7 linked regions of the Callithrix jacchus genome follow. The protein of the gene in region 4 purifies or fractionates together with the protein of the main gene of each other region. This does not show direct contact. Links are inferred from orthologs where the notes say so. Each region holds a gene or a part of one and is shown on either strand. Other genes may lie near its edges. The genes, in order: MKNK1, EIF4B, EIF3A, EIF4G1, PDCD4, EIF3I and EIF3G.

Region 1 (4,186 bases), on a different chromosome or scaffold from region 4:
AAAAAAAAAAAAAGTGGGGGGAAAAAAAGGGTTTAATCTGTTCAGAGAATCTGGAGGATCCTCAGAGAAAGGATATGATTTGAATGAATATTCATTTACTCATTTACTGACCACCTATTATGTGCCAAGCTCTGTGTAAGCACTGGCGATACAAAGGAGAGAAAACGCTGTTCTATTTTATACCCCACACAATGGAAGTCATTGGAGGCTTCTGAGAAGTCTCCAGAAGTCACCCACAGGAAATAAGAGACAGAAGTAGGATGCAAAGGATGCCTTGAGGTTTTTAGGGTACTGAATCATAGTGGTTCTAACAGAGTAATAGACCTGGGTTAAAGGAACATCTAGGTGACCTGCCCAAGCTCACAAATAGCACAGCTCTTTGAGCCCCTTCCAAAGCAAGCCACATCTCCATCACAGCACTAGCTGCCTGACCTCATCCCCACTCCATTCTTCAGCCTCTTGAGGCACCTACCACTGAAACCCACAACCTCAGCAGAAGATGTTTCAACCATGAATTAGATTTTATCATTCTCAGTCAGGAGAAGTCCTGTCATTGGCCAAGCTGTCCTTAAAAAACAGGAAGCACTCTCTTGTGTTAATTGAAAGAGCAAAAGAGCTGTTGATTAGGAAACTATTCTAAAACCCTTGGGATCTTTGTCTGTCCCCCATTCCCCCCCACCCCACACAACCCCCCTATTGTTTGAGTTAAAGGCAAATTTTACAAACCCTGCTGAAAGTACCTTCTTTGTTACAACATGGTTTGGTCTTGGTTGTTTGTAAGAACAGATGGTACACTGTTATTTGTAAGTATTTTAAATGTCACGCTTCTCACAATGGACACATTGGCATTAGCCCTTTACACATATCAGGATAGGTAGGTGGCTGGGGTCCAGTATTCCTGACACATAAAGTGTTTGCTATTGGAGCCACTCTATACAGCAGCCAATTTACTAGTGTGTCTGGAAGCCTGGAAGGAGGGATCAGGAGGGAAGCTACTTCAGACCTCACAATGAAAAAAACCAAAACAGATGAAGGGGGGTATGTTACTCCTAGGAATAGCTACTGATCCTTTTGGTGCTTTGCACAAGTGTCCAATGATTTGTTTTACCCCATCACATGCCCACAGGACCTGCACTGAGCCTAGTGCCTTGCACATAGAGTCTGATGACCCAACATGTGTCTACTGAACTCTTTAAAATGTAGTCTTTAAACTCATTACTCTTTAAAATGTAGTCAAACACAAAGCCAGACGCTATGGCTCACGCCTGCAATCCCGGCACTTTGGGAGGCTGAGGTGGGTGGATCACTTAAGGTGAGGAGTTTGAGTCCAGCCTGGCCAACATGGCGAAACCCCAACTCTACTAAAAATATAAAAAAAAGCCGGGCATGGTGGGACATACTTGTAATCCCAGCTATTGGGGAGGCTGAGGCAGGAGAATTGCTTGAACCTGGGAGGTGGAGGTTGCAGTGAGCCGAGATCACGCCAGTGCAACCCAGCCTAGGCAACAGAGTGAGACTCTGTCTCAAAAAATAAAAAAAAATTTTAAAAATTAATAATAAAAAATGTAGTCAAATGCATACAGCATAAGCAGGTGTAATCTGAGTGACAAATTCTCTGCTTGTAGGAGACTGAAGTTTCATTTGCAGCCATGGCCTTTGGTGTGTCTCTCTTCCTCTTATATGTTCTATCTCTCAGCAGCCTCTCCAGGAATAGCTGAGGGAAGAATCACATCTGAAAAAAGGGTGGGAGACCCCAGGCAATAACAGTGATAGATGGGTCTTCCTGCTTCCTGACAAGGTACCTGAGCCATTCACAGGCAGCCAGTGCGTCATCTGAGCTTTTTCCATCCTCACTCTCTTTCTGTAACGTCCTGTGTAAATTCCCTCATCCCCATCTTATCTCCCTACCACACAGATAACCACCAGCTGGCTCTAACTTGATGCATCCTATGATCTGGACCTGTGGCCCCCAGGATGCTCCTCCTATACTTGGGAAGCTGCAGGCTCAGATGTAGGGGATTTGTGTGACCAACCTTCGAACTTTCCTGGCAAGGAGTCAGCGGCCCGGGCCCTCCGCTTCTTCTTCCTCCTCCTGTCACCATCTTCGATGGGAAGGGGTTCACTGCTGCCCATCTCTGGGAGATAAGAGGAGATGTAAGGGAAACACCACTGTACTGATCAAGCTGTAAATTTACCCAGAAGGAAAAAAAAAAAGGTAGTAGGGGGAGGACCCAGGAGCTTTATACTGATGGTTTTTAAATATCTGTGAAGACTATTGATTTGTTTTGACCTAGGAGGAAAAACTAAAGGGAAAACCATTATGGGAGATCATTAACTGTGGAAAGGAGCTCAGACAGGCAGGCTAGATTAAAAGACAGCAGCAGAAGCCTGCTGTAACCAAGCTCATTAGCACATGGATTTAGATCTGCCACCGGTCAAACTATATTCCCCAAACAGAACAATGACTCCATAGGCAGAACCCCACCTGTGACATCCTCCAGCCTCAGGATCAGAAAGGCAAAACCGAGGGAGCTAGGCAAGAAGGAGGTTGGGAGTGGGCCATCCAGACGAGTCATAGGCTCAGCAACATTGCTATGGATGTGCACAGGGCACAAAAGGCCTGGAATGGAAATGGCCTCTGTGAAGGTAGCCATAGGGCTGGGGCTGCGGTTCAAAATGGCCCCAAATTACTGTCCAAGAGCACGGACCTGAGTGCCCATGGAGCCTATGGCATCCTCTCCTCCCACAGCTCCTCCATCAGAAGGGCTGCAGGTAGGACCCATTCGGGAGTCTGCAGTTGACAGGTCTGCACCAGGCTGCTGGATGAGGTCACTTATTGCAAAAACCTTATTATCTCCATTGGCAAGCACCTGGCTCCCCATCTTAAAGGGAGCATTTGTAGGGCAGGCATTGAGATACTGCACAGATTGGGCAAAAAAGGGTCGGATGAAAAGAATAAGCAGGACACTGAGATGGGAAAGAGAAAAGCAGGAACAGTGAACCAGTGCCCAATGACAGCCCTGTTTCTAAGACACTCTAGTATGCGCCTTTCCCTGTTAAAGATAAATTACTTATAGAACATGTCATGCCCCTGATCCAGAGTGGAGCCTTAATACTCTTTGCCTGCAGTTAGAAATAATAAGATTTCTCTCAAGTCTCTGGGTCTAAATCCCCACCAGGGTGATTAAACCTTTACATCCTTCTAAAATAGAGGCACTCGAGTGCTGATGGGGCACACGGCGTGAGAGACTTTTAGACCAACCTTCAATAAACAGGCTCTGGGTGGTTGGTATTTTTCTTTCTTTTTTTTTTTTCTGAGCTTTTAAAATGGAAGCTGGCTCTTTGCCCATTGAGGGGAAAGGCCCACTCTCTTCTCAGAGGATCTGGCTGCATACGATCAGAGAAACAGCAAGTCTGCTAGGAAGATTGATTAGTGCCCATGCAGGTCTATACACCGTTCTCAGAGGCAAGTACATGACAGCCATCAGGAGAAAGCACACAGGATGGCACTTCAATACCACAATCCAGAAAGCACGGTTATGCAGCCAAGTATCTGACAGCTCAATTTAGGTGCGTTCTTCCATCCACTTTGGGGATCTGATGGTAGCACATTTTTAATTATAGTTTAGAATGGAGAACAGATAAACTCACGGATAAAAGAAATCCACAGAGGATCTTAAAATATAACTCTAGCCAACAGCATCAAACACAAGATATATCTGGGGACTGCAACAACTTATGAATCCAAAGAATATCTGGCTGGGTATGGTGGCTCACGTCTGTAATCCCAGCACTTTAGGAGGCCAAGGCAGGAAGATCACTTGAGGTCAGAAGTTCAAGACCAGCCTGGCCAATATGGTAAAACCTGTCTCTACTAAAAATACAAAAATTAGCCGGGCGTGGTGGCGGGTGCCTGTAGTTCCAGCTACTCGGGAGGCTGAGGCAGGAGAACTGCTTGAACCTGGGAGGTGGAGGTTGCAGTGAGCCAAGATCGTGCCATTGCACTCCAGCCTGGGTGACAGAGCAAGATTCTGTCTCAAAAAAGCAAACAACAAAAACAAATAAGCACCTCAACACCCACCCTTGTCAAGGTAAATTAAAGGAAAAAAGCTTCCCAAATGTATAATATAATAAAAAATTCAACAGAAATAAAACACAGGTCACTCATCTTCAGGAGCTCAGGGAG
Region 2 (3,986 bases), on a different chromosome or scaffold from region 4:
AAGGGAGGTAAAAGCCATGGCAATTAAGTGTTCACCATTTGTTACCTTGTCATTCTGTCTAAACATGTCTCATTAAAACCATTCTTACAGATGTTAGATTTGTTTTGCCTTTACAAAAAGTAATTTGAAAACAAACTCAGGCCGGGGGCTCCCGCCTGTAATCCCGGCACTGTGGGAGGCCACAGAGGGAGGTAATACTTGAGCCCAGGAGTTCGAGACCAGTCTGGGCGACATAGGGAGACCCCCACCCCGCCCCACTCCGTGTCCACACAAATACTTGATTGCAGCTACTCAAGAGACTGAGGTAGAAGGACTGCTTGAGTGCCAGAGGTTGAGGATGCGGTGAGCGGAGACTGCGCCACTGCACTCCAGCCTGGGCGACAAGGCGAGACCCCGTCTCAAGAAATAAAAATAAATAAAACCAACTCAGTAATTTCTGATGTGGCCTTTAAAAACTAGACCGGGCGTGGTGGCTCACGCCTGTAATCCCAGCACTTCGAGAGGGCGAGGCGGGTGGATCGTCTGAGGTCAGGAGTCGAGACAAGCCTGGCCAACATGGTGAAACACCGCTTCTACTAAAAATACAAAAAACTAGCGGGTAATGGTGGCGGGCGCCTGTAATCCCAGCTGATCCGGAGGCTGAAGCAGGAGAATCTCTTGAACCCGAGAGGCGGGGGTTGCAGTGAGCCGAGGTCGCGCCATTGCACTCCAGCAGCCTGGGCAACAAAAGCGAAACTCCGTCTCAAAAAAAAAAAAACACCATTAAACTCAGAATCTTCCCTTTCTTAACATCCACTTATGGACACCCATTCCGAATCCATCAAGACGCGTCTCAGAGCAGAGTAAGCGGAACCAGCAGCGAAGCCCCGCCCTTGCCACCCCCTGCTCTGGCAGGAAGTCTGCGCGTCACGAGGCCGGCAGGGGCTTAGCTCCGGGCCCGCGTCCGCGTGTAGCCCTACGTAAAGCGTGAGGGGTTTCGCGACAGCCCAGGACCCACCCCTTTGGCCACATGTCGCGCATGTCTCCCCGTTGGACACTGTGCCACCTCGCCGCGCAACTTTACGAACCTAGAGCAGCGCCGCCCCGCCTCCTGTCTCCGTCCTCACCTCCCCGCCCCCTCCCAGCTTAGAGTCTCCTAGCCCGACGCGCCCACTAGAATCACGTGATTGCCTCATCCGGGTCCTTTGCGTTCTCTTTCCCTCTCCCAACATGGCGGCCTCAGGTGAGCGAGCAGCCGAGCGCGGCCAAGGACTGGGCTCTGAAACCCTCCTCCGAGCCTGATCCACTTATTTCCTGGAGTCGGGGAACTGCCAGCACCGGTTCCTTCCCGACTTGAGGGCTGCGGCAGGCTGGCGGCGTGGCCATGTTAGGTTGCTGCTTCGGGATGTTTGGGGGGAGGGGAAGGACACTTTCCCCTCCCCCTCACACTCTTTTCACACTTTCTGCGCGAGATTGGAATAGGCAGTAATGGTGGACTCAGGCTTGAATTGAAGAAGAAGGCGCAGAAAGGTGTGCGGGTGGTGCGAGGCGTTTTCATAGACGTGAAGCACCGTGCTCGCGTGAAGGCGTGGAGAAAGGAAGGAGGCGGTTGGTGCGCGGACGAGTGCACATTAGACTACGTCTACGATGCGCGAGGCGTAGCGGACCGGAGTCGGGGGCAGGGGAAAAGGGGGGGGCAGCAGTTAGAACGCCAGTGCGAGTCGGTGGAGGGGCGGGGGAAGGCAGCGGTGCGCGTGCGCCGTAGGAGATGCGAGGGTAGTGGAGACGGGCGCGCCTTCTATGCGTGCGCTAGAACCCAGATAGGAAGCTTTTACGCCCTGGTGTTGAGCTCTTCTTATGTCCTTTTAGGTTGTGCTCTTCCCTTTCTAGGGTGTGGCCCCGTGCCTGTACTTTTCCGAGGGTACGTCTGTTAGGCTTGGAGGTTGGTGCTATTGGAGTTAGATGGGGGTGGGGAACCCAGTATGGTGCGCCCACGTGTTGGAGAAGCACGGGTGTGCACCTAGATTTCTTTCTAGGTTTTTTTCTCTTACTCAGTTGGACGCATTTTTACTCAGCGCAGCTATATGCCAAGATGAGGTTTTCTTCTGGCGCTTCCATATTGGTTGAATTTGGATAGTTCCAGTGGTAGGTTTCAAGATTTCAGCCTTTTTTTTTTTTTTTTTTTTTGATAACTGTACAACCACCAGCAGGTACTTTTAAAATAATGCTTACTAGTGGCTGGAGTTGCTTACTTCTTTAGACATCTTTGGAGGGGAATATCAGTGCCATGCAAGCCTAGTTACATTTCTAATGGGCTTATAAGAGCATTGATGACCTAACATCTTGTAGCATTGATTTTAGTTTGGGGAATATAGTTTGTTTTCTCTGGCATGACCTTGCATTCTTCAAAACATTATTTGAACCTATCTTTGGGTGCTCATTTCTTACCCAGTAATTCATTTTCTCTATTACAAAGGAGATAAGGGTTATGGCTGGCTTTGGAAAACGTTGAGAAAATTGAGGTGCATTTGAACATCTTTCATTGGTGTAACACTTGACAGTTAACCAAGCACTTTTGTGCATGTTGTCTCCTTTGATCTTGAGGTAATGTAGAGAGATGGTGGTGGTTCCCAGCTGAGGAACATTATTTAAGGCCACACTGCTCTCAGCTGGCAGAGCAAGGTCAAAACCTTTGAGACTCCTTAGCAACTTAGAAGTACCAAGGTGTCATCTTCAGTTTTGGGCGCTGCCCGAAAGTGTCTGAAGTTTACAAAAGTTCATATTTTTTCTCCAGTGAGCTAGTAAAGTCCTAAATATATTTTAAACTAACCTTTGCATAAAGTACCTATTTGGTCTGGATTTGCCACCTTAACAGTTTAGTATCGTAATTTAGTGAAGAAAATCTGTGTTTTCTTAACTTTTGTGGAGCCTTTAGAGGCAGAAGACGACATGACAGCAATTCATGCCCTTCTTTTTACTGAGTTGAATGAAATTCAGACTGATTACAGGGATTTACTCAGTGACGTCCCATTCTCTTGTTCTTCCATATTTACCCCCTTGAAAACCCTCGTGTTCTTTCTTTCTTTCTTAATTTTTTTTAGACAGTCTCACTCTGTCGCCCAGGCTGGACTGCAGTGACTCGATCTCGGTTCACTGCCACTTCTACCTCCCGGGTTCAAGGGATTCTCCTGCCTCCTGACTAGATGGGATTACAGACGTCTGCTTTTTGTATTTGAAAACCCTCATCTGCTTTAATTCATTTTAGTGAATCTTTTTAGCTGGTACTGGTATTACTGGTATCTAAGCACAAGTCACATCTTTCAGTCTGCTCTTGAGGAATCTGGGGTTTATCAGATTTGTTTCCCCTCTCCTCTTCTCCAATCACATTAGCTTTGTGAAGTAACCGGTATTCCCTGATGTGGGAAGTGGATCTTGTGTATTCTCTGTGAAAATACATAAAACAACTTCATATCCCTCTTTAACTGTTAAATGAGACCAAAAAATTCTTTGCAGCAATACCAGTTTCCACTGTGACCCATTGACCTTCAGGAACTAAGGTAGGTGTCAGAACTGACTACAGAATGAGGATAGTTTGAATTCATAGAAACTTGTTGCATTGAGCCAGTACACTTAATTCCTTGTTTTTCCTTCTTAAAAAGAATTATTAAAGGCTGGGTGCTGTGGCTTACACCTGTAATCCCAGGAGGCTGAGGTCAGGAGTTCCGAGATCAGCTGGCCAACCAGTGGTGAAACCCTGTCTCTACTAAAAATACAAAAATTAGCTGGGCGTGGTGCTGGGTGCCTGTAGTCTCAGCTACTCAGGAGGCTGAGGCAGGAGAATCACTTGAACCTGGGAGTTGGAAGTTGCAGTGAGCCAAGATCGCGCCACTGCACTCCAACCTAGGTCACAGAGCAAGACTCCGTCTCAAAAAAGGAAAACATAATGGCCAGGTACGGTGGCTCATTCCTATAATCCTAGCACTTTGAGAGGCCAAGATAGCACTTTG
Region 3 (3,500 bases), on a different chromosome or scaffold from region 4:
AATATTCTCTGGTAGTAGGCATCAAAGAAATTACAAAATAATCCTGATGCACTGCCTTTCTATGTATCTGCATTTGATATTGGGAAGATGACACTATCCAAGATAAACATTTGTTTTCAGTATCAAATGCTATCGTGTTGCTCCTATTCAGTCTTTAAATAGCAATGATGCGGCTAAAGAAGCTCTCCTAGCTAAGACAACTTTTCTCTGCACCAAACTTACCTTAGGTGTTCATTAACAGAGCTCACAAAGAAGAAATAACTTGTTACAGGCAGTGGCTCACGCCTGTAACCCCAGCACTTCAGGAGGCCAAGGTGGGTTGAATCATTTGAGGCCAGGAGTTTCAGACCAGCCTGGCCAACATGGTAAAATCCCATCTCTACCAAAAATATAAAACATTAGCAGGGCATACGGTGCATGCCTGTAGTCCCAGCTACAGAAGAGACTGAGGCACAAGAATCACTTGAACCCAAGAGGTAGAGACTGTAGCGAGACAAGATGGTGCCACTACACTCCAAACTAGGTGACAAGAGACTCCATCTCAAACAAATAAATAAATAAATACAGAAGGAAAGAAAGAAAGAAGCAGGAGGGAAAAATCTGGTCATTGTACCTCACTCTTTGAGGAATCATATGTCCACTCTGGTTGCTTCTGTAACATAATCCACACTATTACATTACCTATACAGAGTAATATTATTTTGTTTAGTGGAAGAAAGCTCAATGGTTTGTGTATTTGATAAAGTAACAATTCTATAGAATTCTACTTCTACAGAATTCTACCAAGTACAATCTATAGAAAATATATCATAAATCCCTTCTCTTAGATATCATCTCAAACCTTTTTGTGAAAGACATGGCATAAGACTCTCTCAAAACTTCTGAGATTTATTTCCCCTAGAAGATGCATACCAGTATATGAGCTGGCTTAATGACTTCAAGTGCTTTTGCAAGTACTGAGGACATGGCTGTCAGCTGGTTTCTTATCTGCTCTGAAGGCATGCTTTGCAAATGAGGACCAATCGGAGCATCTTCTCGAGTAGCATAATTCAAATCAGATCCAAAACTCAGAGTCCGAGAAGTGTGATCAATACGAACCTTTGAAAATTAAATTATAAATGGTTAAATCCATATGTAAGCATGCAGTCAAAAAAAAACAACAAAAAAAGTCACATACAAAAGCTAGAAAAGTTCACTCAGTAAACTTTAAAATGAGAAACAAAGGATACGTGTCTTTCTAGCCCTTAAGGGCCTTCTACCTGTCCCCTTACAGAACATACCTACCTGCAAGTCGCAATGCCTGGCTGCATCTACTATGGCCCGTTCCAGTTGGAAAGCATCAACAAAAGGAACCAGAGAAGTCAAACGAGAAAACTCAATGCTCTGATAAATCTGTGCCACCTGCATAGAAAACATAGCGTTAATAACACTAACCACTATTTATTCAGCACCTTTTATGTGCAATCTCATGACAGTCATGGGAAGTAGAACTTACGCCAGTGAATTATGTTAGCAGTACATTGTTAAAGCCAGAATTCTAATCCCCAGACTATCAACTCCAAACCTCATGCTTTGAGAACTATTATCATACTACTCCTCAAACCTATAATCCTTTCAAATCCTAGTTTTCATTATATTAAAAAAAAAAAAAAAACTAAAAATCTACTACTTACCGAATATATTTATAAACACTTCTTAAAATAATTTTTGTCTGAAGGAGACTGGCAGCATTACTATTTATAGTTAATACTGCTAATTAGCCTTCAACTATTTGTATAGCACAGAAGAAATAACACTGCTCACATGTACAAAAGAAAGCAGGTCAATGAAATGTGCACAAACACTGAGGTAAAAATATAATAAAAGGCCTTCCTTCCCAAATGAAAAACAAAATGGGAACACTTAAGCCCCCATTATAAGCCAAAACATTAAAACTTACTCAAGCCCCTGGACTAAAATACATGAAAAGGCTCTCTCATTCACTCATGGTGGGAGGATCTATTAATCCAGGGTTCTGAACAGCTATTAAAGCTTTAAATGCATAACCCCTACAACTAATTCCACTTCTTATGCCACAGAAAGTAACAGAAGTATGTAAAGATACATGTATGAAAGATGCTCAATGCTACAAGATTTTTAACAAGAAAAAAGAATCTAGTAATACAGGTTTTCATCAAGAGAGTCAGAATAAATAAACCACATTATCTTAAAAGGAATAAGGTAGTCCTACATTACCAACAAGGAAAGATGCCCAAAACAATGTTCATCCAAAAAAAAAAAAAGTCAGTTACAAAATGTGTAAATACAATTATCCTGTTTTTCAAGTTAGTAAGTAGTATGAGACTAACTGTTGTCAAGGGTAGAACCTGGGGAGGTTCTCACTTCCTAAACAGTTCTAGATTTTTCCAGTTTTTCGTTTCATGATCAGTACACACAAACAAGGAAACTCCAATTCTTCCACAAAACCTTTTTTAATTTGTACCTGCTGCAGAAGGCGGAGGATGGTGTTGCTCTGCAGTTGCGGCACATACTGTTGCAATTCCGGTTCCTTTTCAGGTTGTTCCCTAACCCAATTTAGAACCTATAAAAGCCATTAAATTGAAAGAGAATCATACTTTCTACAATTAACAGATCCAAAACATCTGAAATTCTTTCAGTTTTTTTTAAGATACAAAAACATCATCCAATGCAGAGAAATACAAAAGGTATCATGAAGCTACTGATACTTGTTTGAAGGTGACTGACAGCAATGACTAAATTAGTCATACTGCTAATTAACCTCCAAAGGTTTGTTTAGTACATTGGAAATACCTTTTCTTTTGAAATAAAAGAAAAAAGACAATGAAATGTGCGCTGAACTCTAACACATAAGACAATACTTCTTTCTTAACAAATATCAGTACAACCCAAAATTGCAATAAGGCCAACTCCATGGTAACAATCAGAAAGAACTTAAATCCAAAGGCTTACCTTTGTGACTCGCTCACAGAGTTTTAGTGGGTTAAATTCCACTTCAAGCCAATTGTAAAGGTCTTTCACTTCTGGGACAACATATTGCAGTACATTAAATCTGACCTAGAGTAAGCAGAGCAAAAGCTGTAACTGCCAAAGGAAATTTTCCAACTAAGATTCCGATCTGACTATGAATTAAAGAAAATGATAGCACTAGAAATCTGAAAAATGATTTTAAAAAATCACCAAGCCTCAACCTCCTCTAAATTTACCAAAGATGAATCCAAGTACAACTCTGCTAGGTCTCTTGCCCCACACTATGACACTAACCTACAGTGAGAAGTATGTAAAAAGGAAATGAAACTCTAAAACACACAACCACAACCAATTAAACTGTGGGCAACAGAATAGCTTATTACCAATAACAAGGAAAATACCAGAGTTTTAGTTTTTTTGTTTTTTTGTTTTTTTCACTTTCAGCTCAGGCTTTAGATTCACAGAGTTTTACTTTTATATAAATTGTCACACAAAAATTATCATGGCTGCAC
Region 4 (3,500 bases):
GGCACAGCCCTTCCATTCCTACAGTCTAGTGCAGGGCAGGCATCAGTCACATAACCACCCAAATAATAACTTGTTGGCCGGGCATGGTGGCTCACACCTGTGATCCCAGCATTCTGGAAGGCCAAGGCAGGTGACCTGCCTTGAGGTCAGGAGTTGGGAGACCAGCCTGGCCAACATGGTTGAAACCCTGTCTCTACTAAAAATATAAAAATTAGCTGGCCATGGTGGTGAATACCTGTAGTCCCAGCTAATCAGAAGGCTGAGACAGGAGAATCACTTGAACTCTGTGAGGGGGAAGTTGCAGTGACCTGAGATCGTGCCACTGCACTCCAGCCTGGGCAGAGTGAGACTCTGTCTCAAAAAATAAAAATAAAAAATAAACAAAACAAATGAAGACTAGTCCACCACAGTGCTGACACTAGGATAGGAAAAATGACCTAAGGGCCTTTAGGAAAGGACAACTTCTAACAAGTATGCTTGTTTCCCAAATCCAGAAAATCTTAAGACACAGATACACCCCATCCCAACATGGTAGAAAATCCTCATAAATCCAACAGTCTGAACATGTTTTCTGTAAGGGGCAAGAGACTATGAAGACATCACTCTTTTCTTTATAACAGATAAAATGATGGCACTGGCCCTTAGCAAGATCACTGCAGTTCAGATTTTAAACATGCCCATTTTTTCACGTTTTAACTAAAAGTTGTCTTACAGCTAATATATACCTTTTTTTTTTGAGATGGAGTCTTGCTCTGTCATACAGGATGGAGTGCAGCGCCTGATCTTGGCTCACTGCAACCTCCCCCTCAGAGTTCAAGTGATTCTCCTGCCTCAGCCTCCCAAGTAGCTGGGACTACAGGCACGTACCACCACACCCAGCTATTTTGCATTTTTAGTAGACAGGGTTTCACCATCTTGGCCACGCTGGTCTTAAACTCCTGACTTCAGGTGATCCATCCTCCTCAGCCTCAGCCTCCCAAAGTGTTGAGATTACAGGTGTGAGCCACTGCACTGGCCTGCATTTTAAAAAATATGACTGCAAGTCTTTTCTTTGAGACAGAGGCTCACTCTGTTGCCCAGACTGGAGTACAGTGGTGCAATCCCGAGTAACTGGGATCACAGGCCCACGCCACCATGCCTGGCTAGTCTTGTATTTTGAGTAGAGATGGGGTTTCATCATGTTGGCCAGGCTGGTCTTGAACTCCTGACCTCAGGTGATCCACCCACCGTGGTCTCCCAAAGAGCTGGGATTATGGCACCTGGCCCAGTCTTTTCTTTCTTAACAGTGCATAAAGGATGACTTATAATCTATGGCACATTGGAGTCGATAAAATACACAAATAAGGCCGGGCGCGGTGGCTCAAGCCTGTAATCACCAGCACTTTGGGAGGTCGAGGCGGGTGGATCACGAGGTCAAGAGATCGAGATCATCCTGGTCAACATGGTGAAACCCCGTCTCTATTAAAAATACAAAAAATTAGCTGGGCACGGTGGCGCGTGCCTGTAATCCCAGCTACTCGGGAGGCTGAGGCAGGAGAATTGCCTGAACCCAGGAGGCGGAGGTTGCGGTGAGCCGAGATCGCGCCATTGCACTCCAGCCTGGGTAACAAGAGCGAAACTCTGTCTCAAAAAAAATAAATAAATAAAGGAGTTGTTATGTCAACATCATTTAATTCTTTTAGATAGATGTGTACCAGGACAAGTTTTTTTAAAAAAAAAAAAAAAAAAAAAAACAAATAAGCATATTGAACTATTTGTGTATTTCTTTTTTTTTTGAGATGGAGTTTCGCTCTCGTTACCCAGGCTGGAGTGCAATGGCGCGATCTCGGCTCACCGCAACCTCCGCCTCCTGGGTTCAGGCAATTCTCCTGCCTCAGCCTCCCGAGTAGCTGGGATTACAGGCACGCGCCACCGTGCCCAGCTAATTTTTTGTATTTTTAGTAGAGACGGGGTTTCACCATGTTGACCAGGATGGTCTCGATCTCTTGACCTCGTGATCCACCCGCCTCGGCCTCCCAAAGTGCTGGGATTACAGGCTTGAGCCACTGTACCCGGCCAACATAACAACTCCTTTAAATCTCAAGTGTGATTACTCCAGGTTCCAGATGGCTGAACCCTTGAAACTGCACACTCACAACTTCTCCCTACCACTAAGTACTACAATCAACCTGCCTTTCGCCTTTACAGTCGCTAGTTACCAATTAACTTTTACATAGCTGCTTCAACACCCTTTGAGGAAAGCCTCCTGTCATGAATATTGTCGAATACTCCTTTGCAACCTCACAGTATTTAAGATACTCCACTCTACTTCAGCTATTTTATTTCACACTTTGCTTCACACTGTTTTCATCGTGCTGTCGTTTCTTCCTTTTTATCTACCAACTTGTTTCTTGTGTTGTGTTCACTGTGGTATCCCTAGTGCTTAGTATACGAGAAATGATCAAAACCCTAGCTGAATGAATGAAGGAATGAATACATCCATCATGGGCCTAGGATCTCAGCCATTCTCCTCTGGTCTTGGCCAGAACTCACGACGGGCACTGGCGTGCGGGAGACGGCCCACCTCAGTATTTCCTCTCCCATCACCATCACTCCACTACACCAATGGACCATGACGCTTCAGGGCCACAGCCAACAGCCAAAACCCCACCGCGGGAGGCGTCTCTGGGCTCCTGGCCCTCACTCACCATGCTTTTGCACAAGATGCCCAGGATCTCCAGCAACAGGGAAGCAGCTTTGCCCAGTGGTCTCAGAGGCTTTGTGATCTCCCTACAAGAAGAGAAAAGCCCAGTGTTGACAGCCTCCATGGTCCTCTCGCCACCACCCACCTCCCTCCAGACCAGGGTGTCCGACCCAGCACACTTCCCCACCACCTTTCCTCTGATCTTTACCTGCCCTAAATTCCACCCACGGGGCTTACCTCAACAGCTCCCCCATGGGCACCCCACCTTCCTGCAGAATGGGTGTTACCAGTTCCGCTAGGTAGAGCCACACGTGGGGGATGTCAATTTCCATGTCCTCAGCCAATTCCAGGATTTCATACAGCCTGCAAAGGGAATTCAGTCAGGGCATTCTAGGCCAGGTCCCCACTCTCCTTCTGGGGCAACATGGCATGGCTAAGTGATCAATTGTGGAGACCCCAGGAACATTTTCTATACGTGGGGACAGTTATCTCAAGCTAAGGCCACCTTTGTGTCCTTAGATGGTTTTCACCCCACTTAACCCCACAAAGCTAGGATGACCAGGAACCTATACTCTTTTTTTTTGGACAGTTTTGCTCGTCACCCAGACTGGAGTGCAACGGCACAATCTCACTCACTGCAACCTCAGCCTCGCAAGTAGCTGGGACTACAGGCACCTGCCACCATGTCCAACTAATTTTTGGTATTTTTAGTAGAGACGTGATTTCACCGTGTTAGCCAGGCTGGTCTCGAACTCCTGACCTCAAATGATCCACCCACCCTGGCCTCCCAAAGTGCTGGGATTCCAGGCATGAGCCA
Region 5 (4,018 bases), on a different chromosome or scaffold from region 4:
ACTATGGCATAATCCTCAGACTAACATGCTATCATATTGCTTGGGAACTTAAGAAAACGGTGAGACCATTCTCTAATTCTGTCTAGATTATATTCATATATGTGATTCTTTATAATCACTTTTCAATATAACTCTCACCAACTTTAGATTTGAAAAGAAATCTTAAAAATATGTATATGGAGATTCATATAGATACATGAACAAAAATGGTTTGCAGATTTAAACATTTAGCATCCTTGATGGCTGAAAAGGCTACATTCTGTTTCAATTCCATGCATGAATTACCTATAGGAAAGGAATAATGTCATATGATGTGTTTGAGTTTTTTAGAGTTCTATTATAGTCTTTTTCATTCTTGATGAAAGTATAACCTTTGAGAGAATATTTTCTGCAGAACCTAATAAGTGAAATGAATATAACTGATGTTTAAAAAGCCCCTTGCAATTCAAAAAGAATTTTACATGTATTATTTAGTACCTTACAGAACAATCTTCAGGTAGGTATTCCACTTTACACACAACTAAACAGATTCAGAGAGGGTAGGTAATATGTCCAAGGACAAACAGCTGCTTAGTTTGAGCCAGGATGAGAATCTAGACCTTCCAAATCCAGTACTGTCTGCACAAGTTCAATCCAAGATTTTAATATCCCATAGGAAGATTCTTAAAGAAGCTTATTAAAACAGACTTCTGCTGTTAAATCAAACTTTTTAAAATACTGTTTTCCAAACACTTAAAATAATTATTTTAAACTATCATACAGAAGGCATTCCATCAGACAAAGAAAACTGTCAGGAAATGAGTATCATCTCTTACCTAATAAAGTTATCTTAATAAAAAAAAAAAAGTCCTGTGTTTTTAGGCAATGATAACCCGATCGATAACTCAAGTCATATTTGAAAGCAGCCAACACACATTTTAAGAGTTCAGATAAAGATAAGACACGTTCCACGTTTTTACTCTCTTTAAAACTAGTAGGACTTTTTTTTTCCAATTTAACCGTTAACACAATTGGCCCAAACAGGAAAATACATGGCAAAAAATCCAAACCCTATTTCCTTCATACCATCCTATAAAAACGAATTTTCAATGAGAAAACTATACATACAAGTTAGAAGAAAACGAAGGCTGACATTAAACACTGTTCTTTTCTCCAGTGTGTTATTCAATTCCCAAGACATTTCCCTAAAAGACCCTCCACTCCCCCGCAAATGTGTGTGTGTATATGTGTATATATACATGTATATGTGTATATATACATATATATATATGTATGTATGTATATTTGTATGTATTTCCCGAAATATACCTCAGAAATTGCTCTGGCATTTTGGGGAGTCATTTATTAACTACAATTACTTATATTCATTCTTCGGCTACAGCCAGCTAATTAGCAGCTTAAAATCAGCTAAAAGCTTTGTACCACAATAATGCAAAAACGAGCACTACAGAAAATATTCAAGTGGCATTTATTTTTTTAGTCCTAACAATTATTTTTCCTTTCACATTAGTATCACGGAAAAAGCCAATCAATTAGAATTCAAAGGCACTTACTGAGTTATTAAGGTATTCAATAAACCTGTAATGAAGGAATATTAAGGACATAAATACCAATAACTACTTGTTTAAAAAGCACTTGGTGGTTTCCCAAAAAAACAGCCACGTTAAGAATATCAAAATTGTGGGTGGGGGGCAGAAAAAAAAGAATATCAAAATTATAAAAATTAACAGTAAAAATGCAAGTTAAAAAATAGGAGAAACCCTCTTTTCCCCGACACCTAGCAGCATTTCTGATCGTTTTTATCATTTGTAGACACTACACAGTTGCTGGCTACGTAGCAAGTTCTCACAAGAGCAAGGGGGAGGTGGGCTAAATCGACGTCTGCAGACAGTTTTAAAGCTCTTGCAAAACTCCATGTACGTTACAGCACCAAACTGACAAATGCAGCAGATGGCACGCGTTTCACAGAAAGGGGGCTCCCTTCCCGGCTTTGTTTTCTCCGGGAGATTTTATTTTACCTAAACTAAAAAAAAGAGACCCTTTGCCGGAGGGCTGGAGCGGCGAAGTTCGCACAGGGCAGGGGAGGCGGGCACGTGTACGCCTCCTAGCCCCCCGGCGAGGCGAGCGCGTGGCCCTTCCCCGCAGCGGCCGAGCCCGCTCCCTTGCAGAGGGCTCAGGCCCGGACCCCCGAAGTCCCCAGCCCTGGCTGGCCCCCAGAAACTGCTGGGCCGGGACCGGGTCTCCGGGGCACGCCGGGCATGGGGATGCATCTTCAGGGGATTCTCAGGAGGGCGCGGTGAGGATGCGAACCTTCCTCACAGGATTTCAGTCTCACCGGAAACACGCCTTCCAATCCTGACCCCCGAATTCAACCTCCGCCAGAGGGGGAGGAGGGTTGGGGGGGGGCCCTCGCCGGCGCGCGCCCCTCTCAGTGGGGAGAGGACTCCGGGAGGGGGCGGGCCCGCGTCGCCACGCTCCGGGCTGGGCCCAGATGGAGGGAACCGGGCCGGCGTCCCGGAGCGTTGGGGCGGGCGCGGCTGGACCTGTGGGGCTATGAGGAGGCAGCCGGACCCCAGCCTCGCAGGCCAGGACCTGACAGGGCCGCGGCCCCCATGCCCCCTCCCATCGTGCGGCTGCCCCGAGGGGGAATGAGGGAAAGGGAGCAATCTTCCCGAGCGTGCGAGCCGCGCCCACTGGTACTGACCCCTCGGGCCCCCGCCGCTGCTCGCCCAGGTCCCCGGTCTGCCGGCCCCGATCCCGCTCCTCTGCCTCCGCCGCCTCTGCACCTCGGAGAGTCTCTGGCCCCTCTCGCTCTGTTTGTTTTTGTTTTCTTCTACCCAGTAACACGGGGGCGAGAAGGCTGCGCTTATTGGCGGAGGCCCGGTGGCCGGTTGGCCAATCGTAGCGGCGGAGCCGGAGCTGGGGAGGAAAAGGGAGAGGAATGAAACGTGGAAAGTTGGGGAGGGGCGCGGGAGGGCGCATGCGCTTGTGGTTCCTGGGACTGGCTGGAGCGGGAGCTGAGCGGGAAGCCCGGGTGAGGGTACGTTGGGAGGCGTGGCGGGATGGGAGCGTCGGCCCACGGGCAGTGCTGGGGAATGGGGACAAAGAAGCTCCCCAGACCCAGCGCACCCATTCTCCTCGCACGGCGTGCTGCAAACTCAGCTGAAGCAAAGATTTTCAGCTTCCTGACGGTCCCTGCCTCCATTTCTAGACACTCCCAAGTGTTCAGCCTGTCGGATTCCTTCTCCCTCTGGCCCCTGCTCTCTCCAGGGAGAGTTTCTGCAGATCCCATAACTAAGAAGTTACTCTCAGCGAATCCCCTCAACCCTTTGAGATAGAAATCATTCCCATTTTACAGATATAAGACAGGCTCAAAAACTCTTTGAAGTCGCTTTGCTAATCATGACTAGCCAAGCCTCTGGTGTTCAAACGCACACATTCTGGACTCCCGTGCTGGGGTTCTGGGCCATGGCTACAATCTCTGTATTGAAATTCCCAGGTCCCCTGGCTGTTCTCTGTGACCTTTCGTCTTGGCTGCGTTCGTTTTGGCTGGTCCTTTCCGTATTCTTTCTCGGTCGCTGTCCCCTGAGGTAATAACCAGAACCTTGTGCTCCCTCTGCTCCCAGGAGGGGACTTAACCACTTACCTCTGATCAGATTTTCCAGTTGTTTGATGGGTCACACATGAATGATTGCTTGGTCTCTCCAGAACCCAACTGTCTTAATTCCGCACAAGCCACGCCTTACCCTGGCTACCCAGTCACCCTGCCTGGGAATCATCTCTAATGCTACTATTTCTCTGCACAAAACAAAACAAAACAATAAACCTTCATTGTCTTCCCATTGCCTCTCTTGAGTGTCAGCACCCGGGTCGGTCATTCAAGGCTCCACTATGTGACTTTAAGACTTTCAGGCTGTGTCTCCACATCTCCCTACATGCTTCCCCACCCGCTGCTAGTTTTGTTTGTTTGTTTGTTTTGAGACGGAGTTTCGCGCTTGTTACCCAGGCTGGAGTGCAA
Region 6 (3,500 bases), on a different chromosome or scaffold from region 4:
AGGCCAAGGTAGGCGGATTACTTGAGGCCAGGAGTTCAAGACCAGCCTGGTCAATGTGGCAAAACCCTAGCTCTACTAAAAACACAAAAATTAGCCGGGCGTGGTGGTGGGCGAATGTAATCCCAGCTAGTCGGGAGGTTGAGGCAGGAGAATTGCTTGAACCCAGGAGGCGGAGGTTGCAGTGAGCAGAGATCACACCACTGTACTCCGGTCTGGGTGACAGTGTAACTCTGTCTCAAAAAAAAAAAAAAAAAAGGTACACTTCATGAGATTTCAATTTGGAAGAGCTCTCTTCCTCTTTACCTGGCCTCAAACTTGCCAATCCTGGTGGAGGTTGTGGTTACATCCATGGCTTCCTGACCACCGCCCAGGACCACCTGAAGGGAAGAAGAAACTCCAGATGGGCCCAATGGGCACCAAGTCCATTTTCTGTTTTTCTCCTGCCATATACATTTTTAACATCTCACACAGCTCAATGGGAGGATACCAAAGGTAGGGGATGATCAGACACCTCCACCACCTTCTGCTGCTTCCCTGGGGCTACTCAATCCTTCCAGCTTTGTCACTCCTCTCTGCCTGACATCATTTCCCCCAAAATGCTTGTAGCCTAACTTCTAGACAAACAGCTAGATCTTGGAAGCTTTCTGAGGCTTTAGCAGGAAGGCTGGTGGGGTTCTCTTACATGGTCATAGTTGGGGGAGAGGGCAGCTGAGTTGACAGGACGTTCTGTCCGGAAAGTCTTCTGATGTTCAAGAGTTGTGGAGTCAAAAAGCTGGAGAGAGAAGGCAGGGGGGAAATCTGTAAAGAACCTTCCTGAGGGAAGTCAGGCAGGGTGAGGTGTGTAGCAGGAGGGAGAGAGCAGCCTGACAGACCCCTGCCTAGGCTCACCTTGGCTGTGTTGTCCTTGGATGCAGTCACAAACATGGTCATGTCCCTGGATAACTGGATGTCGTTGATCTGCCGTGAGTGCTCCTTAACATTCACCAATACCTCTCCAGACTGGGGAAGGAGAAGAGTGAGACTGACTGGTCCCGATCCCTACTAATCTCAGTTCCCCAGAAACCTAATCATTCAAATTAGAACAGCATGGACTTTATGTTTTCCTCACCCCTCTATCTAATCAGTCACCCCTAAACATCCAGTGACTGTCCAGTACTGTACCTCCTATGCCTATTGGCTAGTTCAGGTCCATTTTCCAAACCATAACTGCAAAAGCTGTTGGAAGGAAATCTGACCTTTAGTAACCTCTAAAGATTCCCTACTGCCTGGAGGAAAATCAACTCTTTACCTCCTCACACTTAAGGCTGTGTAAAATCTATTCCCTGTCCTCCATCCCCAACACCACATCCCAAGGGTTCCTGAAGACTCCATACTTCCTTAACTCTGTGCCTTTCCTTTTGCTGTTCCCCTTGGCTGTGGGATGTCCCTTCCTTCCTGCTTGAAGGTCCATTTATTCTCCAAGGTTTAATGTACATGCCACCTCCCTGTGACAGTGCACCTTCAACACTTGGTTGAGACTTCAATGATGGCACAAATCACAATCTGACTCAGGTGCTAGCTGTTTGCAAGTCTGTCTCTCCCTGGGGCGGCAGGGACTGTGTCTGATTTACTTCTTTGTTCTAGGAGCCCAGCACAGGGCATTATACTCAGTCGTCACAGGAAAATGCTCATTGTGATCCTTATTAATTTAATTTATTTATTTTTGAGATGGAGTCTTACTCAGTTGCCCAGGCTGGAGTGCAGTAGTGCTATCTTGGCTCACTGCACCCTCTGCCTCACAGGTTCAATGAATTCTCCTGTCTCAGCCTCCCAAGTAGTTGGGATTACAGGCACCTGCCACCACGCCTAGCTATTTTTTTTGTATTTTTAGTAGAGATGGGGTTTCACCATGTTGGCCAGGCTGATCTTGAACTCCTGACCTCATGATCTGCCTGCTTCAGCCTCCCAAAGTGATGCGATTACAGGGGTGAGCCACTGTGCCTGGCCCCTTATTTATTTTCTTGAGACAGGTTCTTACTCTATCACCCAGGCTGAAGTACAGTGGCACAATCATGGCTCACTGCAGCCTCAATCTCCCAGACTCAAGCAATCTTTCAGCCTCAATTGAGTACCTGGGACCAGAGGTGTGCTCCACCAGGCCCAGCTAATTTTTAATTTTTTTTGTAGAAACAGGATCTTCCTATGTTGCCCAGGCTGATCTCCATCTCCTGGGCTCAAGCGATCCTCCTGCCCCGGCCTCCCAAAGTATTAGGATTACAGGTCCAAGTCACCATGTCTGGCCTGTGATCCTTATTATCATGTCCTGAGTACTTTGTGACAAATTTTTCAAACATGTGGTATCATTTGATCCTTGAACCATTTTACAGATAAGCAGGGTCAGAGAAGTTATGTAACTTGCCCAAGACCACACAGCTAGAAAATGGTGAAATCTATTTTTGATTCTCACCCTTGCTCTTTTTTAAATTTTTTATTTTTAAATTTTTTAAAGTTTTTATTTTTATTTATTTATTTTTTTGAGACGGAGTTTCGCTATTGTTACCCAGGCTGGAGTGCAGTGGCACGATCTCAGCTCACCACAACCTCCACCTTCTGGGTTCAAGCAATTCTCCTGCCTCAGCCTCCCGAGTAGCTGGGACTACAGGCGCGCACCACCATGCTCAGCTAATTTTTGTATTTTTAGTAGAGATGGGTTCCACCTTGTTGACCAGGATGGTCTCGATCTCTTGACCTCGTGATCCACCCACCTCAGCCTCCCAAAGTGCTGGGATTATAGGCGTGAGCCACTGCACCTGGCCTAAAATTTTTTATTAAGCTTTTTCTTTTTAGAGACAGGGTCTCACTGACACCCAGGCTGGAGTGCAGTGGTGTGATCATAGCTCACTGCAGCCCCAACTCCTGGACTCAAGAGATCCTCCTGCCTTGGACTCCAAAGGCACTGGGATTACAGGTGTGAGCCACAGCACCCAGCCCCACCCTCGCCCTGAACTACTGTGCTATCCTGCCTCTTATAAAGAACCATTCTGGGGCTGGGCGCGGTGGCTCATGCCTGTAATCCTAGCACTCTGGGAGGCCGAGGTGGGTGGATCACCTGAGGTCAGCCCCATCTTAATATTAAAAAAAAATATATATATATATATATATAAAAGAACCATTCTGGTAGGCACAGGCCCCCTGTGGCCCCTTACCTTGGCACTGTACTGGTTGAGCTCTCCACTCTCATGGCCAGCGATGATGCACTCTCCCAGGGGTCCCCAAACGGCACTGGTGATTTTAGAGTCATTGCAAGGGATCTTCATGTAGGGCTCATTGTTGTCTGTGTGAGGCAGTAGCTGTTAGGCCCTGGGCTCTAGAGCTGAACCCTTCACTTCAACCCCAGCCCTAGTCCCAGCCCTCACCAATCTGGCTCGGATCCCGAAGGTCAAAGAAGCTCACAAAGCACTGGTAGCCCATCTGCTTGTCCGTGGAGAACATGATGATGTTGCCGCCAAAGTCAAAACCGC
Region 7 (4,042 bases), on a different chromosome or scaffold from region 4:
GAGTTTGTTCATGGGGTCCTCCTCCTCCTGGCAGTTCAGGTCCTGGCAGGGGCAGGTTTGGGGGAATTCAAAGAGGTGGCTGAGGCACCCCATTTGCCACCACCCCAGGACCCCAGCCCAGTCTGGTTGCCCTGCTTACCTCCTTGCTGGTGATGAACGTCATAGAGACATCGTCACTGACAGTGGTGGTGGCCACATTGGGCCCTGGGGGGTCAAACTCTGAGTTTCCAAACTTCTTCCAGTTCTGGGCTCAGGGAGGAATGGGGGACAATTGAGGGCAGGGGCAGGCAGGGTTCCACAGTGGGGTGTCCCGGACCTACAGCCTTCCCCGGAGTGTCTGGGCCTTGAACCTCATTTTCATCCTCCTCAACCACTCCCTGAACAGTTCTGTTGACAGTTCCTATTGCCTGAGTCCCCGCCAGGCCTGAGCTCCAGGAGGCAGGGCAGCTGTCAGCATTGGGCCCCAGGTGAGAGCTACACAGCCTGGGGCCTGTTCATGTTGGCGGACAAGCTCCCACTAGGGTTCAATATTCAGGGATGTGAAGGGGCTCCACCCAGACCTCCAGGCCTTTGAGCTACCCAGCCTGAGCCTTGGCTTCCTCCCTTGTAAAACAGGAACCACAAAAGCTTCCTACCTCCCTGGGCTTCTAAGGACATCAAATGAGAAACACCCTGCCAGGTGGCTGGCATGAGGTATGGTACAAACTAAGCGCACAGCAAACTGTCCCAAGTGTATTAATTGATATCACTTCTTCCAGAAACTGCTGTGACCACCTTCTGGCTCCATTCCTCCATTGACAGGCTAAGAGGAATAAAAAATCTAACCACAGCTGGTCGCAGGGGCTCCCTCCTGTAATCCCAGCACTTTGCGAGGTGAAGGTGGAAGCTCTTGAGCCCAGGAACTGGAGACCAGCCTGATCAACATAGAGAAACCTTACCTCTACAAAAACTTAAAATTAGCCCGGTGTGGCGGTGCACACCTGTAACCCCAGCTACTCAGCAGGGTGAGGTGGGAGGATGGCTTGAACCTGGGAGTGTAAGGCTGCAGTAAGCTCTGACTGTGCCACTGCCCTCAAGACTGGGCAACAGGACTGGACCCTGTGTCTTTAAAAAAAAAATAAAAGAATCTAACTTACAATATTTTTAATCTAATTTATTTGATATTACTATCATTCGATATTTATCATCAAACTTTTTTTTTTTTTTTGGTGAGATGCAGTCTCACTCTGTCACCCAGGCTGGAGTGCAATGGTGCAACCTCAGCTAACTGCAACCTCCGTCTCCCAGATTCAAGCAATTCTTCTGCCTTAGCCTGCCCCGTAGCTGGGATTATAGGTGCACACCACCACACATGGCTACTTTCACTGCACCCCTGCCCATCATTGAACATTTTTACTGTGCATCATCATCAACTCCTGTGCCCTGAACTTTTCAAGACCCCATAAGAATACAAGAACCCAAGGCTCAGTTCAGACTCACAACAGGTACAGAGTTAAGTCCCATCTCTTAAAAACAAAGGTCCAGGGAACACAGTTTTCCAATTCCTCTGTGTTATCCCTGGGGAAGGAGGATCTCACCTTCCTCCTTGCGACAGCCTTTGAAGCCTTCCGGGTCTCAATCCTGAAGGTGCGGACAATCTGAGGATGGGAGAGGAGAAGGGTCAGGCTCCTGGAACCAAAGGAGCTCCTTTATCAACCCACTCAACACACCCCAACCTCTTCTGGTCTCAGGGTCCCCAAGGAAAAGGGTCCTCACTCCTTGCCCCCTCCCACCCTCACCTTGAACTTCTTGCCATCCTCATCTATCTTGTACTCCGTCACTGTCTTTATGTTTCCGTTGATGACCTCCTTGGGAGGCGGCAGTGGAGCTGGAGAAGGGGAAAAAGAGCAAGAAACTGAGCCCTGGGTCACGGGCATCAGGAGCGGCACGGCTGGAGGGAGAGGCAGCCCGGAACGGAGTGGCAGTCCTCACTCACCTCCCGGCAGCAGCTCCGGCTCTGGGCTGGTGTCGCCGGTGGCCAGAGGGATCCCTTTGAGGAGCTCGCTGGTGACACATTTGTCTGCGAGAAGCAGCGTGGGGAGAAGGGGTCAGCTCCAGGGGCAGGAGCTCCCCAGCTGAGATGGAAGGGCCTTTGGGATGACGCCTACAGCAAAAGCTGAGAAAGGCAGGCCAAGGGCAGAGGACTGGCCAGGTAGTACACTGGGATGGCCCTGTGGGGACGCGGAGTGGCCAGGATGGGGGAATCCCTCGTAGGAAGGTGGGGGCCACGCCATGAAGCCATCCAGGCGCCAGAGAGAAACAGGAGACAGGAGATTACAATTGTCTCCCTGGAGTAAGGGAACAGCTGGGAGGGCTAGCGCAATGGCATGGGAGGAAGAGGGACCTGCCAAGGAACATCTGGAGTTGGCAACAGGCGAGCCCCAAGGATGAAGGCGCGGGGCAGGGGCTGGCCGTGACGGCGAACACGGTGCCAGTCTGGGAGATGGAAACAGGCAGCAGTGAACCGGCTCGGGCCTGGCCGCGATGACCTGGGGCAAACGGATTCACTTACCGTCCTCTCCCTCCTCTTCCACCTGGTCGGCCCAGCTGGGCTTCGAACTGCGGAAACAAGTGTGTGGGGAGCTAAGATTAAGTCAGCCAGGCCAAGCCCCCGCGGCCTCGGCGCACCCAGGCCCCATAATACTTCCCAGAGCCCTGTAACCGCCTCCCGTACCCGCTTCCGTGATCCCCAACTCACTCAAAATCTCCAGTAGGCATCGCAAAAGGGCTCTCCACGCAGCCCAAGCCCGGGCTAGAGAGCGGAAGTGGGTGTAAAAGGAGACTTCCGGTTCCGCGGACACCGCCTAGTGGGGCCGGCCGCGGCATCCACAGCGACACCTGCGGACGGAGGTGGAGGCGCACGCGGCTGTGTATGCTGCTGGGAGCTGCTGGTACCAGAGCAGGGAGCGCGGAAGGGCGGTGGGGGCGTAGAGGCTGATTTCACTGCTGCTCCTACTACCCTTTAAAAACCAAAATAAGCCGGGCGCGGTGGCTGAAGCCTGTAATCCCAGCACTTTGGGAGGCCGAGACGGACAGATCACGAGGTCAGGAGATCGAGACCATCCTGGCCAACATGGTGAAACCCCGTTTCTAGTAAAACTACAAAAATTAACCGGGTGTGGTAGCATGCACTCGTAGTCCCAGCTACTCCGGAGGCTGAGGCGGGACAATCGCTTAAACCGGGAGGCAGAGGCCGCAGTGAGGCGAGACCGCGTCACTGCATTCCAGTCTGGGCTACAGAGTGAGACTCCATCTCAGAAAAATAAGTTAAAGAAAATGATATAATAACAACAAGGTTCACTGATCGAGTGCTTATTGTATATGAAGCAGGGTGAGGAGGATATTATTGCAATTTTACAGCTCAAGAAACTGAGGCTGAGACTGGGTGAGGTGTCACACGCCTGTAACCCCGCACTTTGAGACTGAGGCATGGGGGTTGCTTGAGGCCAGGAGTTCGAGAGTAGCTAGCCTGGGCAACAGGGTGAGAACCCCACCACCACCACCCCGACACACACCCACCACCATCTCTAAAAAAGAAAAAGAAAGAAAAAACAAAAACAAAAACAAAAAGCCGAGGCTCAGGGAAAACAGTCCTTCTGCAAACTGTTCCTTGCCTTCTTTCCCAATCCCACAGATTCAGATGTCAAGGGGCCCGATGAGCCACTCCTCCTCCTTTTCGTTGTAGTGTTCTTGGCTTTCCGGTATAATTTTGTGCATTTACTTGCTTATTGCTCAGCTCCTTGCTCTAAGAACAACCATCCTCAGCTGGAGTGATTCATGATGACTCCCCAGGAGCAAAAACTGGTTTTCAGCGAGGGGGAAAAAAACTAAGATATTGTGGTCTTCCAAAGCCAGCTCTATCAGACAACATCTTATTCTTTTTTTTTTTTTTTTTTTCAAGACGGGGTTTCACCATGTTGGTCAGGCTGGTCGTGAACTCCCAACCTCAGGTGATCCGCCCAACTTGGCCTCCAAAGTGCTTGGATTACAGGCGTGAGCCACC

The links.
Region 1: the proteins of EIF4G1 (region 4) and MKNK1 purify together in Homo sapiens (affinity purification with western blotting; 3 studies listed by BioGRID and IntAct, with this or other methods). This does not show direct contact. The link is inferred for Callithrix jacchus from reciprocal best matches to the Homo sapiens genes EIF4G1 and MKNK1.
Region 2: the proteins of EIF4G1 (region 4) and EIF4B fractionate together in Homo sapiens (co-fractionation; 4 studies listed by BioGRID, with this or other methods). This does not show direct contact. The link is inferred for Callithrix jacchus from reciprocal best matches to the Homo sapiens genes EIF4G1 and EIF4B.
Region 3: the proteins of EIF4G1 (region 4) and EIF3A purify together in Homo sapiens (affinity purification with western blotting; 4 studies listed by BioGRID, with this or other methods). This does not show direct contact. The link is inferred for Callithrix jacchus from reciprocal best matches to the Homo sapiens genes EIF4G1 and EIF3A.
Region 5: the proteins of EIF4G1 (region 4) and PDCD4 purify together in Homo sapiens (affinity purification with western blotting; 3 studies listed by BioGRID and IntAct, with this or other methods). This does not show direct contact. The link is inferred for Callithrix jacchus from reciprocal best matches to the Homo sapiens genes EIF4G1 and PDCD4.
Region 6: the proteins of EIF4G1 (region 4) and EIF3I purify together in Homo sapiens (affinity purification with mass spectrometry; 5 studies listed by BioGRID and IntAct, counting the BioPlex papers as one, with this or other methods). This does not show direct contact. The link is inferred for Callithrix jacchus from reciprocal best matches to the Homo sapiens genes EIF4G1 and EIF3I.
Region 7: the proteins of EIF4G1 (region 4) and EIF3G purify together in Homo sapiens (affinity purification with mass spectrometry; 3 studies listed by BioGRID, with this or other methods). This does not show direct contact. The link is inferred for Callithrix jacchus from reciprocal best matches to the Homo sapiens genes EIF4G1 and EIF3G.

Annotation. Positions count from the first base shown.
Region 1 is NC_133508.1:83,334,235-83,338,420, forward strand, and holds the start of MKNK1 (MAP kinase-interacting serine/threonine-protein kinase 1), read right to left. Parts: upstream 2,801-4,186; 5' UTR 2,655-2,800; coding exon 2,486-2,654; intron 2,136-2,485; coding exon 2,034-2,135; intron 1-2,033. UniProt on the Homo sapiens protein: May play a role in the response to environmental stress and cytokines. Appears to regulate translation by phosphorylating EIF4E, thus increasing the affinity of this protein for the 7-methylguanosine-containing mRNA cap.
Region 2 is NC_133510.1:66,554,510-66,558,495, reverse strand, and holds the start of EIF4B (eukaryotic translation initiation factor 4B), read left to right. Parts: upstream 1-1,186; 5' UTR 1,187-1,209; coding exon of another isoform or gene 1,210-1,222; intron 1,223-3,492; 5' UTR 3,493-3,536; intron 3,537-3,986. UniProt on the Homo sapiens protein: Required for the binding of mRNA to ribosomes. Functions in close association with EIF4-F and EIF4-A. Binds near the 5'-terminal cap of mRNA in presence of EIF-4F and ATP.
Region 3 is NC_133513.1:112,012,420-112,015,919, forward strand, and holds part of EIF3A (eukaryotic translation initiation factor 3 subunit A), read right to left. Parts: intron 3,076-3,500; coding exon 2,971-3,075; intron 2,855-2,970; exon of another isoform or gene 2,725-2,854; intron 2,582-2,724; coding exon 2,483-2,581; intron 1,839-2,482; exon of another isoform or gene 1,706-1,838; intron 1,402-1,705; coding exon 1,285-1,401; intron 1,099-1,284; coding exon 913-1,098; intron 1-912. UniProt on the Homo sapiens protein: RNA-binding component of the eukaryotic translation initiation factor 3 (eIF-3) complex, which is required for several steps in the initiation of protein synthesis.
Region 4 is NC_133516.1:13,306,283-13,309,782, reverse strand, and holds part of EIF4G1 (eukaryotic translation initiation factor 4 gamma 1), read right to left. Parts: intron 3,047-3,500; coding exon 2,921-3,046; intron 2,770-2,920; coding exon 2,688-2,769; intron 1-2,687.
Region 5 is NC_133513.1:103,813,910-103,817,927, reverse strand, and holds the start of PDCD4 (programmed cell death protein 4), read right to left. Parts: upstream 2,801-4,018; 5' UTR 2,705-2,800; intron 1,579-2,704; 5' UTR 1,554-1,578; intron 1-1,553. UniProt on the Homo sapiens protein: Inhibits translation initiation and cap-dependent translation. May excert its function by hindering the interaction between EIF4A1 and EIF4G. Inhibits the helicase activity of EIF4A. Modulates the activation of JUN kinase.
Region 6 is NC_133508.1:68,837,374-68,840,873, reverse strand, and holds part of EIF3I (eukaryotic translation initiation factor 3 subunit I), read right to left. Parts: coding exon 3,396-3,500; intron 3,314-3,395; coding exon 3,186-3,313; intron 1,000-3,185; coding exon 889-999; intron 773-888; coding exon 683-772; intron 378-682; coding exon 304-377; intron 1-303. UniProt on the Homo sapiens protein: Component of the eukaryotic translation initiation factor 3 (eIF-3) complex, which is required for several steps in the initiation of protein synthesis.
Region 7 is NC_133523.1:9,307,731-9,311,772, forward strand, and holds the start of EIF3G (eukaryotic translation initiation factor 3 subunit G), read right to left. Parts: upstream 2,801-4,042; 5' UTR 2,758-2,800; coding exon 2,738-2,757; intron 2,599-2,737; coding exon 2,552-2,598; intron 2,060-2,551; coding exon 1,976-2,059; intron 1,868-1,975; coding exon 1,779-1,867; intron 1,638-1,778; coding exon 1,578-1,637; intron 245-1,577; coding exon 140-244; intron 43-139; coding exon 1-42. UniProt on the Homo sapiens protein: RNA-binding component of the eukaryotic translation initiation factor 3 (eIF-3) complex, which is required for several steps in the initiation of protein synthesis.